Linked DNA regions of Mytilus edulis. The protein of the gene in region 2 purifies or fractionates together with the protein of the main gene of each other region. This does not show direct contact. Links are inferred from orthologs where the notes say so. Each region holds a gene or a part of one and is shown on either strand. Other genes may lie near its edges.

The links.
Region 1: the proteins of 3-hydroxyacyl-CoA dehydrogenase type-2-like (region 2) and tRNA methyltransferase 10 homolog C-like purify together in Homo sapiens (co-immunoprecipitation; 3 studies listed by BioGRID and IntAct, counting the BioPlex papers as one, with this or other methods). This does not show direct contact. The link is inferred for Mytilus edulis from reciprocal best matches to the Homo sapiens genes HSD17B10 and TRMT10C.

What each region holds. Positions count from the first base shown.
Region 1 is NC_092347.1:26,992,814-27,001,204, forward strand, and holds the start of tRNA methyltransferase 10 homolog C-like, read left to right. Parts: upstream 1-5,082; 5' UTR 5,083-5,239; intron 5,240-7,005; 5' UTR 7,006-7,016; coding exon 7,017-7,331; intron 7,332-8,391. Other genes in the region: uncharacterized protein, read right to left, coding at 2,076-2,831. UniProt on the Homo sapiens protein: Mitochondrial tRNA N(1)-methyltransferase involved in mitochondrial tRNA maturation. Component of mitochondrial ribonuclease P, a complex composed of TRMT10C/MRPP1, HSD17B10/MRPP2 and PRORP/MRPP3, which cleaves tRNA molecules in their 5'-ends.
Region 2 is NC_092344.1:67,261,548-67,270,087, reverse strand, and holds the start of 3-hydroxyacyl-CoA dehydrogenase type-2-like, read right to left. Parts: upstream 3,518-8,540; 5' UTR 3,466-3,517; intron 3,010-3,465; 5' UTR 2,970-3,009; coding exon 2,949-2,969; intron 1-2,948. Other genes in the region: ataxin-10-like, read left to right, coding at 7,675-7,799. UniProt on the Homo sapiens protein: Mitochondrial dehydrogenase involved in pathways of fatty acid, branched-chain amino acid and steroid metabolism. Acts as (S)-3-hydroxyacyl-CoA dehydrogenase in mitochondrial fatty acid beta-oxidation, a major degradation pathway of fatty acids.

The DNA.
Region 1 (8,391 bases), on a different chromosome or scaffold from region 2:
CATTTTAAATAAAGTGGAAGATGTGGCAAACCTGTGTCCAAACCCAAATGCTAGGAAGACCGTCTCGAGAGTTATATTTAGACTGTATATAAAGTAAATATACTATACATATAAATAGACTGTAATAAGTAATAACTAAGTTACTCTTTAGTAAAATATCTGCCTTCCAAATACAAATTAGAATAACAATTCAATTGAAAATGAACTGTATTTCACTGTTGTCCAGTCAGATGATTGGCTAGAAGTGACAAACTAGGGAAAATATTCCCACTTAATATCAATATCTTCGGCTATGCATATATCTCGTTAGAAGATTTTCTATAGGTCGTTCCTCAAAACACAGATTTTGTTTCGTTTCGTTGTGTTTCGTTTCTCAATTTACATGTTTTGTTTCGTTTCGCTGTTTCGTTTCGTTTCGCTGTGTTTCGTTTCGTTTTACCATGTTTCGTTTCGTTTCGTTTCGCTCTGTTTCGTTTCTGTATCTGTATCTGTATCTTGCCAATATAGGCACACCTTCAGTACGAAGTAATAAATCGAATATAAATCCAATCACCAATAGAATTATAATACAGTCTGTACACAATAAAAGTATGTCAATATATTCCTTCACCAATATCATATATCAAGTCTTATTCACGGAATTTAGAATATATTTACTTTTAATTAATAATAACTTACAGTCCACACACAACTACTACATAGCTAAATTTGACTTTCTTAAGTTTTTCTGTCCAGTGTTTAGGAGCTTGTATCTTTGCATATTATTATGCAGGATATATATAAGTGTTCTACAAGCAGGTTCAACATGCAAGCTAATAAAGCTACATAAATCACTAGTTTTGGTGCAAGCACATAATTTCACTAGATAGTATGGGTTAATTATCACATGGGTTAGGTTTATATCCAAACTAATGTTAAATAGTTCTACCAATCTAAGACATTGCTCACGTATCACTTTTAAAAGCTTTTCTCTGTCCGGTTGCGATGTGTTGCAAGCTAGAATAACCCTCTGAATTTTCATTTATCTTTTCTCTCCAGTAAGTATAAATTTTCCTTGTAATAATTTTTTTCCATTGGAATTTTCCAAGAGGGTAAGTTAGGAAATTCTGACAGTCTGGCAGATCACATTTTAGGCATATTTTCTTTATTTGTATGAACCAGCTTTTACTTGTATGTGTTTTTAATTGCAGCTGTCTTTCTGCCAATCTCCATTCAACTGATGTTTTGTTAGCTCTGGTGATATTTCCAAAAAGTGTTAAAGCTTTAAGGTGGATTTCAGCTTCAATTGGTAGCATTCCACTTAGTATGATCTAGTATGTATATAGCAGGGTCAGCTGTTTGTTGAGATAAAGAGAGTATTTGTTTAATAATTTTCTTGTGAAATTGGTTGATTGTGTCAAAAATGCTGCCTGTCGGAAGTAGTATTTCCAAACCATGATAGGTTAATATAGGCATAACATATGTATTTAAAAAAGTTATAGCTGTTTCAGGATCTAATCCATTCCTCCCATGTAAGCCTGCGCCCATTAGACTATATAATGATCCTCTTGCCTTCTTTATGTTAATATCAACAGTTAATTTTGCCGAGTTTTTCTGACACTTTTGTATACCAATATGTGAGGAGTGATCTACAACTGGCATAGGGTTATTGTTTATATGCCAAAAAATGTCCTCTATTTCAATCGATCTGGATGAAGTGTTTACATACCGGTAATATTACACTTTTTGTTGGTTGTAGAGTGTATCCCTCTCTCCTACTAAAATTGACTGCAATATTTACTAGCGTCTGAAGTTCTACTAGATTGTTTGCTATGATAGCAACGTCATCAGCACATGTTGGAGCACAGCAGCTAATATTGCCTATGTGTCCACCTATTCATGTGTCACATAAGAGGTTTAGTAGAGGGTTTACATACAACTTGTACAGATCTGCACTAATGGTACCACCTTGGCGTACACCCTGTTCTATCCCAAAGACTGCTGAAGTTTTATTTCTCCATTTTTATACAAGCTGTTGCATTTTTGTATAGACTGTCTATCAATATTATGGATTGATCATAGATTCCTGTTTGATATTATCTCCTTATAAGATTTGAATGTACGACCACACCAAATGCCGATTTACCATCAAGTAAAGCTATGTATGTTGGTAATTTGAGATCTTTACTTTCACGCTCAAACTCTTCAATAATTAATTCACATAACAGAGGGGTGGTGTTCTCGGTAAATGCTCTTTGTAATTGATTTTGTTTCTCCAGGATGATAGGGTTTTCCCGTAATTTAATTATCTTTTCAATTATTTTGGAGTATATAGGTGTGACTGTTATTTCTCTATAGTTTTTCGCATATCTTGCACCACCCTTATTCTTGAATACAGGAAATAGTGTACCAATTTTCAGAATATCAGATATACAGCCTAGTTCCAAAGATCTGTTGATAAGTAGTTGCAAATATTGTTGCAATTGTTTACCACCATATATGATATTTTCAGCGTTTACACCAAAGAAGTCGGCAGCTTTATTCCTATTTAGACATGATATTGCTTTTGAAATCTCTTCTTCTGAAATAGGGTTATGCTTGAAACGATCTTTACATATGTCAATTATAATTTTAGCTTCTTTTTCAATAAGATCTTGTCGATATTGAGTGTCATAATTTTGATTTTGTTCCTTTTTTGCAAGCTTATGAAAGTGTGAACGCCAGCCTTCAATGATATTATCGTTGTGATAGGTATTATCATCTACATGTAATTGATCTATAAATCTAGATAATTTTCCTCTTTGACCTTTTATAATTTTTATAAAACATGTTTCTGTCTGATGTTCTGACATTAATTAGTTTTTGACGTTTATTTATTCTACGTTTAGCTACTTCTAATCTGCATTCTTTACGTAGAATGTGCGTTGTTAGTTTATTCTTTTTCAGATATATGCTATCGGATTCTTTTGGACGTCCATTTAACTTCCAGTCGTGAAAAGCAAGTTTCTTCTTTTTGATAGCTTCTTTTATGGCGTCAATCATTACTTGTAGCTTAGGTCTTTTTTTCCCCAATTTTGATTGCTGGTGCTGCAGCTTTAGTAGATTTAACAATAATTTGATTGAGATTCTTGAAAGCGTTTGTTACATCTTCTATTGTCTCTATTGTTGGTTTGCTGTCTGGTATTTCTGAAGCAATAAGAGTCTCATATAGCTGTGTATCAACTTTATCCCATTTGATCTTACGTTTGACAGAAGTATTACTTGAATTGATTTGTTTCACAGGATGATGATATTGAAGGATCAGTTTAATTGGGTAATGATCTGATACATTAGATATTATGTATATATAAATTTTGAAATATAAAATAGTCAATGGCAGTGGTATCACATGCAGCCGTTTGAATGGATAAAAGTGCTACTATTATATTTTGTTTCGAAATCATGCTCTTTCATGAAGTCATTGACACAGGTCTTCCTTTGTGATCATGTTGGACCATTTACAATATCCTCGTTTAAGTCTCCTCCAATAATTATTTGGTGTGATTGTTGATACGTACTGACTATTTCATGTCACTGAGCAATGCAGTCTTGAAAATCACTAGTCTAAGGTGTTGAGATGATCCTTTACAAGGCAAGTATACAGAGAGAATAATTAAATTAGGATCACTAGTGACTTCTATTCCTTGAATTCTTTCGTTACCTATTGTTAATGGTGAAATTATTATAGAGTCTAAATCTTTTTTTCCATAATATAGCTATGCCCCCATAACCTCTAGGCATCTGTGTAGCAGGGATGGGATCTAATGAGTCAACTGCCTTGCCGACACCAGTAAGCTTGTCACTTATTTCATTTAGCATCGATAACTGTTCCGTTTCTCACTTTACCGGGACCCGAAATGGGTTTTTGAATGCTATGCCTAGTAGCAATAGAAAGGGATTAAGGGCAGCCATCCTTCTGTAAATTACTTTTCCTAAACAAAAACATTTCAAATAGAAAAATTGTGAATTTATACTCTAATCCGTTTACTGGAGCTGGTGGTCCTATATTTATAGGACGGATCTTCTACAAGACAAGACAAAACAAGATGGTCTGTTAATGTGCAGTCTCATTTAAAATTATCCCTGAAAATGTCTTAAACAAACAAAAAATGTTTTAGGATATAAATAAATACATACTTTATGAATACCCTAAAGTTTTTCCCCGTGTGAAACATGTTACCTGTTACCTGTTACCTTCTGTAGATCCCTCCTCTATCAAGAGAACCTGGAGTTCATCCAGTAAAATTTTGTTGCCTTATATTTACATCTGTTTCCAGTCACTATACATTTATCTTTAAAATTTTTTATCTATTTACAGCCTATGAGTTTGGTAAACCTTACAACTTTTAAATGTTTATTTACTTTCAAGGAGCACACTACGCTTTTCATGGAGCGAGTAACACAGGCTTCTATAGTGATTGATTCCACCAAATTTATGTCATTTTTCTCCAACACATGATACCACTCGAAACGACTACAGTCCAAGATTAATTGTATCATTTTCGAGTTACTAACGCAAATGTCAGTCCATGCAACAGTTCCAATCTTTGGTACAACAATTGTATAAAGCTTTGAGATAAAAATGTCTCTAATACTTGTTAGGGCAGAGCATACGACAAGAAAATGTTCTAAATGTTCAGTTCCTTCCTCACATAGCGGACAAATTGAAGTTTTTTGACCATTTGAAAATTTTGAACGGTGGTACTGTAGAATATATGTATCCAATAGCATTTTGATCTTATAACAGGCTTTACGTATACACATTTGTTCTGAACCAGCACTTTTCCATATGTCAAAGTTTACGGGAACCTGTGTGATTTTACGTAATGGCGGACAAATTTGCATACAAGTGTAAATACGTCTATTAACAACACCAATTTTACAGTTTTTCATATTTAGGTACCGTAATGACGGTTTTGATTTGGCTTCAGTAAACAGTTTTTCGGACCAAAAGTTATCAATACACTTTTTTACTTTCATTTTCCACTTGTATTTTGTCTCTGGTTTAAGTAAAACTTCTGAGGCACACGGCAAGTTATATTGTGCTCCGAGACGGAGGAATATATTTAGAAAAGACGATATTTACTAACATTATACATTCATTTCGCTTCCCGGTCTATTATTTTCCCACAGAAAAATTTATAAACTTGGCCATGTGGAGAAGAATTTAAATATTTAAAAATCAAAACCACTTGAAGTATTCTGACAAATACACCCTAGCGTAAGTATATAAAACTGTCATACCTTTGAAATAAAAAGAAAGTTAATTGAGTAAAAAGGCAATGAAATTGAAAATAACCTCTGACACTATAGTTTCATGTGCTCCATTAGTCCAAATGATTATGACGTCTGGCAAGGCTATTTTAATTTTTTCTCTGGGAGGAAGGCGTCCCAGAAAAAAATTAAAATAACCTTGGCAGACGTCATAAATATTTGGACTAGTGCCCCATCTAACCTCTGTCAAAACAAGTGGCTGTGATCCAAAGTCGCAGGAAGGTGTCACAGAAAAAAATAAAGGCCAAAAAATAAATAGCATTTCAAGGAGTCATAATTATTGTATATATATATTTGTAGCCTAGCCACAGGGGTTTGATACAATTTGCTGGGTGTATTAGAAATAGCTGAATTCATTTAATGTCAAAGAAATTTCAAGGGGCAGATCCAACCATCTTTTAAAGGGGGTTCCCAAATCATGATAAAAAAGGGGGGTCCAACTATATGTCCCTATTCAACTGCATTGATCATATTGATCATCAGATATATAAGGGTGTTTCCACCGCCGGGACTACCCTGGATCCGTCACTGAATCCCTTGTAAAAACCATATTCATTATATTCAGCAACAATCAAGATTCTACTTTGTCAACATTATCTCCCCGTTACACCACCATGACCACCTAATTTTTATAATCGTAAAAATGGAAGCCATATTTATATAGTGCTGTCACTTCCTGTTTCCATTTCTGCAACCCCACAATATCCACGTCTATTGTATTTAAGTGTTGTTTTTGGTCTTTTTTTGTCATAAAGGCAGCACTTGACGTGGTATAACATGTCAACACATTAAACGATTTCTTTGCCCTAACCAAAGTGTTGTTATCTTTTTATGGTTGTGACTAAAGTACATGTAGATCTGATCGTAGATAAAATGCAGACATCAGAATGTAATAAGATAGCTGAGTAGATAGATAAAATGTAGACCAAAGATTTAATAAATAGCTGAGTAGATAGATAAAATGTAGACCAAAGATTTAATAAATTAGCCGAGTAGTTAGATAAAATGCAGACGACAATTACTGAACATCAGCATGATCAGATTTCTGACTTAGGACAGGTGCTAACAAATGCAGGGGGTTTAAACATTTTAATAGGAACCAACCTTTACCCTTACCTGAAACAATAGTGTAAAATCACAACATACTAGAAAGACATAAAATATCAATTGAAATGGCTTAACTTAATCAAAAGATATATTATTAAAAAAAAAAAACATACACTGAACGAATAAATTTGATCTATGTCACAATGTAAATACACATCAATAAAAATATAAAGGTGTTAAATATTATCAGAAAGACAACAATAGCATTGAACAAAATGCTGCCAAGTAGAATAACGTAAATAGGTTAATAAAAATAATTTTGCTGTAAGGTCACACAGTCTTCACTCTTTACCACAAGTCCTAAGACATTGGCTTGTAAAATTGCATATGGGCTCGTAAAATTCTCCTAAAAGCCAACAAAATACAACCTTTTTTTCTTCAAAATTTGGAGCTTCTGGCTTGTGGATTTAAAAGTTAAGGGCGAAGGCAGAAGGTATACAATCATGGAGTACGGAAATATATTTTACATAACATTAATTTTGTTGTTCAAATTACGAGAACAGAAGTTATATTTGTTCACCAAGGACAGAACATTAATACTAGTCATGCTAGTAATTAACACATCATACTTTAAAGAAAATGCTTTCATGTTTTTTTTAATTTCAGAAGAAGTTGAGATGAATTGCATAAGAAGACGTCTGTTTCAGATGGCAAAATTGTCAAGAGGGAGACAACAGAATTTTAGAAAACAGACATTGCTCCACAGTGAAGGAGGGAATACAATGATGTCAACTTCTTACTTCTATGACAGTGAACATGCTCCCTTAATTGAGAAAGATTATACACTAGACTCAGCAGATAAGCCTCTTTTAGAAGGACTATTTACTCCAGAGACAGCTGCTGAATATTTAAGTAACCTATCTGAAGAAGAGCAGAAAAAACTGCAAGCTTATAAACTGGAATATGAAGTTACCAGTAGTATTTCAACACAGGTAACAGTTAGTCCTTGTATATATACACATGGAAAAAAGTATTGCAACACCTTGATTTTTAAAACTTGAAAAATCAGCCTCTTTTTTTGGATGAAATATAATAAAATATGTGTATAATATTATTGAAATATAGTTTATGATAACATTGGCATTGAAACGAACAAAAAATATTTGAAAAAAAAATGATTTATACAACCACAATTTTAATAACAAAATGAAGTGTTTTTTGTACAAAAAAATGCATTTTACAACTTTTACTGTCCATAGTCGAACTTTACAATGTCAGACATTTCAAAATTAATCTTTAGATGACTGTTCACATCATGGTTGATCGTTATACGCCAAAGAATTAGTACTTTGTGCGCAGCCTCCATTCAAACAGATAACCGCATCTTAATGTCTTCTGATTCCTGTCATAAATCGACTAATTTGTTGCTAAGGTAGCAGCAACCATTTCTGATGAAGGGCATTGTTTATTTCATGATGTGTTTGAACTGGGGTGTCCTTTCGCGCACTTTCCGCCCAATAGTGTCCCATATATGCTCGATATGGTTCAAAGCTGGGCTACGATCAGGCCAAGTAAGATGAACCAAATTTCATTTGAACATTGGATCTTCCTCCACGATGCTAATTTCCAACTTTGGCATGCTCTGCACTACATTGGATACGGAAAACTGTGTGTCTGTTCGTTAGCAAAGGTCTCCGAAATGGTCTTATCGCACGAAAACCAGTAGCTATGAGTTGATCTCGAACAGTTCTTGTTAAAAGGCTCCTGTATGGCCACCACTCTCTTTTTAGGATTGTCTTGTATGCAATGGGTTTCCTTCTGACCAACCTTCATTCTGCTTGATTTTCTCAGGCAAATGGTATAGGGGTCTTCATTATCTCGGAAGGGTTTTAACAGCGTTTATTGCCTGATTTTTATTCTCAAAACGACTTATAGTGGAATGGTGATGACCAACAATACGTGCAGTTGTTACAGCGACATCCCTGCTTCTCTTATGCTGATAATCTGCCATCTTGCTGCAGTTAAGAGTTGTCAAGGACCCATTACAAGGTG
Region 2 (8,540 bases):
TGTTTATTTTATTCAACCGCTAGCTTTATGTAAAAAAATCGCCAACAAGTAATGTGTAAATCCAAGTTGAAACATATTGAATGAAAACAACATTGACAAACAATGGCTGCCATAAATAAATATACAGGAAGTGTGGGAATAAACTAAAACCAGGTCAAATCCGGAAACGGACAAGTATATAAATCCGGGTTTGTCAATCAAATACAGTAAATTTATAAAAAATGAAAAGAACCAAACATGTGACAGCTATCATAGCAACACTAAAATTGAAAACTAAAAGATATATAAAAAAGAAAATAGAAACAGGATATATTTTATACAGAACTTAAAATATTTTATTTCACAAATTTTCATGTCAAAATCAAAAAAATGTAACAATCCTTTAAGAAGTTGGAACTCATTATTTTGATACTCAAATAAACTGAAATGCCATGTTGTTATATTTAAAAAACAAAGAAGGTGTAGTCCTTACTTTATTTTCACCAACAAAAAATAATTTTATGAACTAATCACACTAAAACTAACATCTGGTATATTGGTTGTTTTTCCCAATTTCATTGAAAACCGCGTTAAAAAATTCCCTATACTGGCCAGGGTCCTTTTTCCCAAAATACCCAGATAAACCCCTGTAATTATCCTAAAAATTATACATTTTTTATTCAGAAATAACTCATATTTATCAAATGTAAAAAAAATCATCATTTTTTGCTATATATTTAGGCCACAGTTTTTTAATTTGTTGGTTTACGGATTTTCCCCATGAAAAAGTCGGGTTGGTTGGTCGGGGAAAAAATAAAAAATAAATCTTTCAAGATCTTTCAAGACAGAAAAATATGCAAAATAAATATATATTTCACCTTTCTAACAATATTTTTGTTATGCTTTTTTGTCATTATTCTTTAAAAAGTTTAGTTCGAAGAAATATTCTTGCTCAGCTGTAATAAATATCGCATGACATTGTCTAATAATTTCCCGTAAAAAAGGGGTGTGTGCACAGACAAAGACGAAATTAAATGGTCATTTCACAAACAAGAAAAACAAGTTAGCGTATATAGCTCTTAATCAATTCCAGAAAACTTGGTGAGTAATGATCTTCAAAGCACGAAAACTGATAAAGAAAAATGTAAAAAAAAATCGTACCAAAATAAGTTTCAACACACGTGTCAAAAACGTAATAGACTCGTACACTGGAAAAACGAGAATATCGGGTTAATCTGGTGTCATGCATTCCCGTGGACAATATTTTTTTTATTATCTATGAAACAAGATAATTCTAAATGATTTGTTGATATTCAGAACTTTTACTTGGTGCCTTCCACCTGTCCAAGTTTGTTTCTATGAGATCATGCATCTTATGGACTGATAACAAATAAGGGAAACGAACTTATTGTGTAATTAATTTTAAACACAGATTTTGTTCTGCAAAATTATTTGCGCAAACGACATTTCAAGGTCAGTTATTATTGATTTGTCTATTTTTTGAAACGTAAACCGGAAGTTTTATTTTTCACAACAGAAAGTGTTATCAATTTTGTTAGTGATTAATGCATTTCATTTCATCAATTATTTTTCAGGGATAATGTATTTGTTAGGCTTGGCGGAAATAAAAAAGCATGAAAAGTCAATTTTATTTTTATTCTGGAAATCAGCAAAATGGGGTAAACCAACAAATTAAAAAATTCTGGCCTTATCAAATTAAAAAAAATTGCACTATTTACATTTTCATGAAAATAGGCACACACAATCTTCTCACATAATCAAACCAAATGGAACTTTAAAACAGAGGGGTCCATGAAGTTTGAATGATAAAAATAAGCCGAAAACTGAATCTTTTCCCGATAAGTCATAGTTTGATGTTGCGAAAATAACAATTTACGTTAGCAACGTCATTACCTCCCCTGTAACTGTATCGTATGCCCTTAAGGAATGACTGTAATATTTTTTCTGTCTATGAAGAAATAACATAAAAAATGTGGTGCACACTGAATAAAGTGCGTAGCTATTTTGAAAGGCAGAAAAAATATAACAATCATTTCTTATAATTTAATTCTTAATTCCATTTTAAACTGGATTATTACATTGGTTGCAATGAATTTCATTGATTTCCCAGTTAGATAAAAACCGATAATTTCAAATGTGAAATAAACGTGGTTATTTCACTCTCTGACATCATACAACAATAGGCGTTGTCAAGACATCGATAACGTCGGATCAAAACAAATTGTCAATGCGTAGGAAAAAGATATAGTTCCTTACATTTTCTACATTAATTTCATTAAAAAAAAGCCATTTACCAATGTAATAAAAAGAATAACTAATCGCCGTATTTGAATATCAAAAATAAGACAACTTGTGACCGAACGCCGCTATGGATTAAACTCGTGCTGCGCACTCGTTTAATCCATGTGTCGTTCGGTCATGCGTTGTCTTATTTTTGATATTCAAATACGGAGATTAGTTATACTATAAGTAAATCATAAAAAAAACGCTGATGGCGTCACGGTCACATGACAAAATTATGTCTATAGGGTGATAAACAAAACGAAGTCAGCCAATCAGAAGACATGTTACATCCAGAATTAAATTATAATCAGGTAGTATCTAGTCGCATCAATAATTTATATGTTCCTGGCTTCCTAACTCATTAGGTCAGGCATGTTAGATGGGAAAAATTGTACGATTTGCAAAACATAAATGTTCTATGTTTTCCATATGTAAGTGGCTGTATGGCATTTTAAAAGAATACATGCACACTGTTAATAAAACTCTTCACTGTTCAGACTTTTGATCAATGACATGGGAATGTCAAGTTTTCGTGACCACGGTATAATTTCGTAAGTAAGCAAAATTATGTGTAAGAGTTTGCAAAGTGGATAAATGTGCAACATAGGGAATACGTTTTGTCGTCATTTTCAGCAATAAACATGTGTTGTCATCACTGCATTCACCTTTAAATTTCTAATCGGCATATTTGTAATTTGCAAGTCCGAAGTTTACTTCACATGTGTTGGCCCAAGACCACAATTAATGACCCCGCTTTTCGTTGTCCACGAATATAGTTCCTTTTAATTAGAGTGTATTTTTCCTTAATTTTTTTTCTTTCCTTTCCTCACTCATTCCTTAAATCTTTTTGGGTGGAAATGAAAGAAGAGGAGTCAAATAAATTTTTGGAGGTTGTATTTTAACTGATTTTGATATGGAATGAGTGATTAGGTCAAGTGCAAAAAGGTGATATTTACAGTTTTCGGAACATCTCTTGACTTGTCAATAGGGGTATGGATGTGTATTGGCTAAATTTGTAAAAGTGATTGCTTCAATCTTTCTGAATTTTGGATATATATTTGGACTAGGACAATACATTACACACACAAAAAATTGGACAAAAGTGCATGGTGCAATTTTTTTAATGATGCAAAAGGTTATAAAGAACTGATAGAGGAATTAATTGTGGTCTGTGGCCTGTTTTACAGAACTTTTTTTTATCCAATCAGGTTACATCTTAAAATTTACTTCTTGTTTCTGTTTTGAAGGACAAAATAAATAAACCATTTCCGACCTAGTAACCAGTGTTTGAATATAATACGCAAAATGTTAATAAATTTACCTGCAATTTATATTTGTGAAATTTAGATTTATTTATAACGTAAAAGTTCTCTTTTGATTTTGAGCATAAAAGGGGACGGGGAAGTGGACCTAGTCTTTATTTAGAAATATTTGATTTGCCGACCATATTTCTTTATCCTCGTGTTTATATCAAAACTGGTCACATTGGCATTTCAATAATTTATTTTGCATATATAAATGAGTATATTCACTGCCATTAGCAGATAGTTTAAGACACTAAAGACGAATAAATTATTCAAACATAGTGATGTTTTACTATTGTTTCAGAAAAGGGAGAAGGTTTTGTACCATTAAAACGTTTAATTTCCAGCTGCAAATGTTTGCCCCTGTCCTAAGTCAGGAATCTGATATACAATAGTTGTCCTCTGTTTAATAATGAGTCATCAGCATCGTTGAAAGGAAAGTTTACTTCTAGAAAAACATTGATGATGAATAATATTTATTTGGAATAAGTTATTTTAATAAAAAAAAAAATGTTTTCTTGTCGTTTCTTGTCGCTAATATTCTTCTTCTTGTCGCTTCTTGACGCTTATGTCGCTAAAATTCTTCTTGTTGCTAATTAGTGAGACCGAATAACTCGACCTCATCAGTAAATCCGTATTTCATGGGAACTTCAATTTAACCCCTTAGTTAGAGATGGATAACGCATGAATTGTTCGTGTAATGTTATTTAAAGGAAAATAATGTCTACATTGAAAATGAAACAAAGGTAATTTATTCGATTGACTAAAAACATTCTTATACAGGTAAAAAAGGAGATAAACATTTATTTCTAATCTATAATATAAGATTTAACAGACCATGGAAGATTTAATTGCACGATTTGCTTAATCTATTTAGATCTACATTTGATGTTTGTATCGCTTATATGGTCATCAAAGGTGTTCGGAGGTCAACTCGATAGTTAATTAGATGGCGTCTAGCCTAAAATACACACAAAACGAAGCCACATAGTTTCGAGCTCTCGACCTGTAAACTGTTTATTTAAGACTTTCATTAGTTTGGATAGATGTTTTACATTGTTAACTTATAAATCAAATACGATAATTTAAGTGAAATCGGTGAACATGAATTTGACAGCTAGTGCCCTTTAAAAAGAACATCAGTCGCGACAACTGTTTAATGAAGAAGGAAAGAGTTCATGTGGATAAATTTCATTTGTTTAGAGAAATCTGAAACGTTTAAGAGAAAATTTCATCTAAATATCTTCTCGCACAAAATCTTTGACAAGTGTTTTTTGTTGATTTTTTTTTGGAGGGAAAAAGGGGGGGGGGGGTGTCTTTATGAGGCCATACATTTTTTACAACTCACTTACATTGATCCAAATATATGTATATGGCCAGTGTACCTCGAATTAAGAACATATTTTTTTTATCCATCTGATGAGTTAAACTTTTTAACAGACTTTTATTGTAGTTCGTTTTTATGTTGTACTGTTATACCACTGTCCCAGGTTAGGGGATGGTTGGGATCCCGCTTACATGTTCATCCCCGCCCCATTCTCTATGTATGTGCCTGTCCCAATTCAGTTGCCTATAATTCAGTGGTTGTCGTTTGTTTATATGTTACACAATTCAGTGTTTTTCGTTCATTTTACATGAATTAGGCCGTTAGTTTTCTCGTTTGAATTACTTTACATTGTCATGTCGGGACCTTTTATAGCTGACTATGCGGTATGGGATTTGCTCATTGTTGAATGACGTCATTGTTTAAGACGAGCAGAACAATGTTTCGAATTTGAACTTTCGTTTTAGATATTCGAATATTATAGAAACAAATTATTAAATTACGAAAAATGTACATCTTGCCCTTCCGTAGTACATTTTACCTGTACCTTCTCATATTTTACTAGGACACTTCATGAACTTTGTTCATGCTCGCATAATTATACATGTATATTATAAATTTCATTGTAGTAAAAAACTCTATAATTTGTCGGACAAACTTTCACTCATAAATACGGAACAAACTCAACCATGTGCAATTATGAAATTCACGATCCAATTGTAACTTACAAAAAGATGATGTTGAGGGAATGTCAAAATGCTTAGGCAAACATAAGACGGACATCACCATGGCAAAATATAAAGAACAAGAATGTGTCCATAGTACACGGATGCCCCACTCCCACTATCATTTTCGATGTTCAGTGGACCGTGAAATTGGGGTTAACACTTTAATTTGGAATTAGAATTAGAATGATCATATCATAGGGAACATGTGTACTATCATAGATGGGGCATAAAAAGAAAAACATACCGTGAACAGTCTCTAAAACATTATTCAAAAAATTGCAGCAAAACGCAGCTAGAGTATAAGTTAGTGAATGCATACTGATTTAAGTTTATTTAACTAGTTTATTTACCAAAAAAATATAAGACTATATTGCTGGTTTGGATTGAATGGATTCCTCTGTATAATTATTTTAATTTCTAATTTGTTCTTTGCATTGAACGAAATCGTTTCACCATTACTTGTTGCTGACGTTGCCGTATGAATTTTCTTTGATAGGATTAAGAAGATGTGGTATACAGTGAGAGTGTCAGTAAGACAACTCTCCGTCCAAGTCACAATTTGCAAAAAAGTTAACCATTATAAGTCAATAGTATATTGAATTCACTGATTTATCATTAAGCGATGTTGGAGTATACATAGGTTGACATGCTTTATTATTGATAGGTTATTGGTTGTAAACACTTTGCGGATTGCTGTGTCGATGTAGGATAAATTTAATTTAAAAATGCTGACTACCCCCGTGACATTCAGAACCAATTTTTATGTCAATAGACCGAACCCACGTTAATTGTTTTGTGATGTCTTATTTTTCACATTATATATGGGTTATTTAGGGACTATCTGGTGTTGTTGATGGCGGATCACCGTGTGTGTTCAAAATTTTAAACAATTCTAAACTAATTTAAACAATAATAAAATGTTAACAATAAAACTTAGAAAATAACAAAAAGTCTATCTGTGTATTGTTTTTTTCCTTTAGAAAGAAGGGCAGTTAAATATACTGAATTTTACAGAATTTTTTTTTGTTCATCCAGCAACAAAGAATTTTATCAAATAGTTCAGGAGTGTTTAAGAAAAACAATTCTTTCAATCGTAATCAATTCTATAGTTAAGAGGCTGTCCAAGTAAATATCAGGCAAATCCTATGATATTGGTGGCACAACATAATTTTTTTCCCACTGTCAGAATTTTTGGTTCCAATGCAATGTTTATATCATACAAAGGATATATATGTCAAAGATATTTTTGAATGAACAGTGGATGGCTCAGAAAATGATTTTAAAGTTCTTTAACAATACAACAAAATTTTGTGCAAAATGAAGAGTTATCTCCCCTTTTCGATGAATTTTCAGTGCTTTCTATGTATTTTTTTTCTCTTTATTTGTTGCATAAAAAACAAAATTCAACTTTAAGAAAGAATGAATTTGTGATATGAAATAGATGAAAAAATTTTGAAAACAAAATATGTCATGTGCCACCCAGTGCCTGGTTTTTCCATGGACACCCTCTTAAATATTTCCTCATTAAAGAAAAACTATAAATTCCACAGTATAACCCATATAAAGTAGCCGCATTTGATTTCATTATTTCAATGTATTTTAACGAAAAAACGAAGTTATTATATGAAATTTTAATCTGCAGTGACCCAGAATTCTTTTACGAGAGTTTTATCAAAATCTGCAGTCGAATGTTAAGATGCACAAGCAGTGACTTTCTTTATTAACTATATTAGTATATACAGAGACATATAATACATTATTATATGTCTCTGGTATATACAGTCCCTGGCGCAAGCTACCATATATTTTGCATAGAATAATATAACAAATTCAACATATTTCTCGAAAACTCTGTTACGGGTTCGGGACTACTGATTAGGTTCTAGATCCGGACTGGTTTATCATTTGATATTTATCAAGGGTACCAGATACTGAAATTTCGGAAGGATTGCGCAATCTTGAAACTGTAAAACACAACAAGGGAAAAGAGTAAGAATGTAACATTGAAAGCCCGAAAAGAAATACTGCCTCTAAAATGGAAAATACCTTTTCCGCAGTCAAATCAGCTTGTTCCAGTTCGCCAGAAAGCTTTTCAGAATGGCAACATCTAAATGAACTGTTAGTTCAACTAAAGGATTGCATGCTTGGTGAATCAGAAAGGTTTGAATCTGTTATATATCTTAATACGAGGCGGCATCACACAAATCATTTGGGACCATGAACCCCCTTTTTATACCAGTGGGGGCATAAAGTTTTACCCTTGTCAGTCTATTCATCTGTCTGTCTGTCCGTAGGCACTAAAATAGGTTTCTGTTTCCTAACTTTAGTTTGCCTCAACCAAAAATTATGAAACTAATACTGCAGTCACACTAGGCCACAATCGCACTACAATCTCTTAAAAAAATGCTAATTTTGACGATTGTAGTGCAATCATGTAGATCACAGTAAGGTTGTGGTACGTTCGTGGTGAGGTCTCATGATCGTGATGATTGTGGCCAACTTGAAAATGTACCAAAAACAATCCTGTGGTCGTGACGAAATCAGATCGTAGTAGAAGTTATGCAGGAGTGCAGTAAGTTCGTGGTTGGATCGCAATGGTCGCTTTAAAAATTTGCAAATTTGACGATTGTAGTGCAATAATGTGTAGATTACAGTAAGGTCGTGTAGATCACAGTAAGGTCATGGTACAGTCGTGTTGAGGTCTCATGATCGTGATGATTGTGGCCAACTTGAAAATGTTCAAAACAATCCTGTGGACATGACGAAATCAGATTGTAGTCAGTAGTAGAAGTGTAGCAAGAGCACAGTAAGTACTTGGTTGGATCGCAAGGGTTGCTGTGACATCGTAGCAAGAGCAAAGCGAAAGCGCGATTCTAGTAAGAGAGATTGCGCTACAATCTC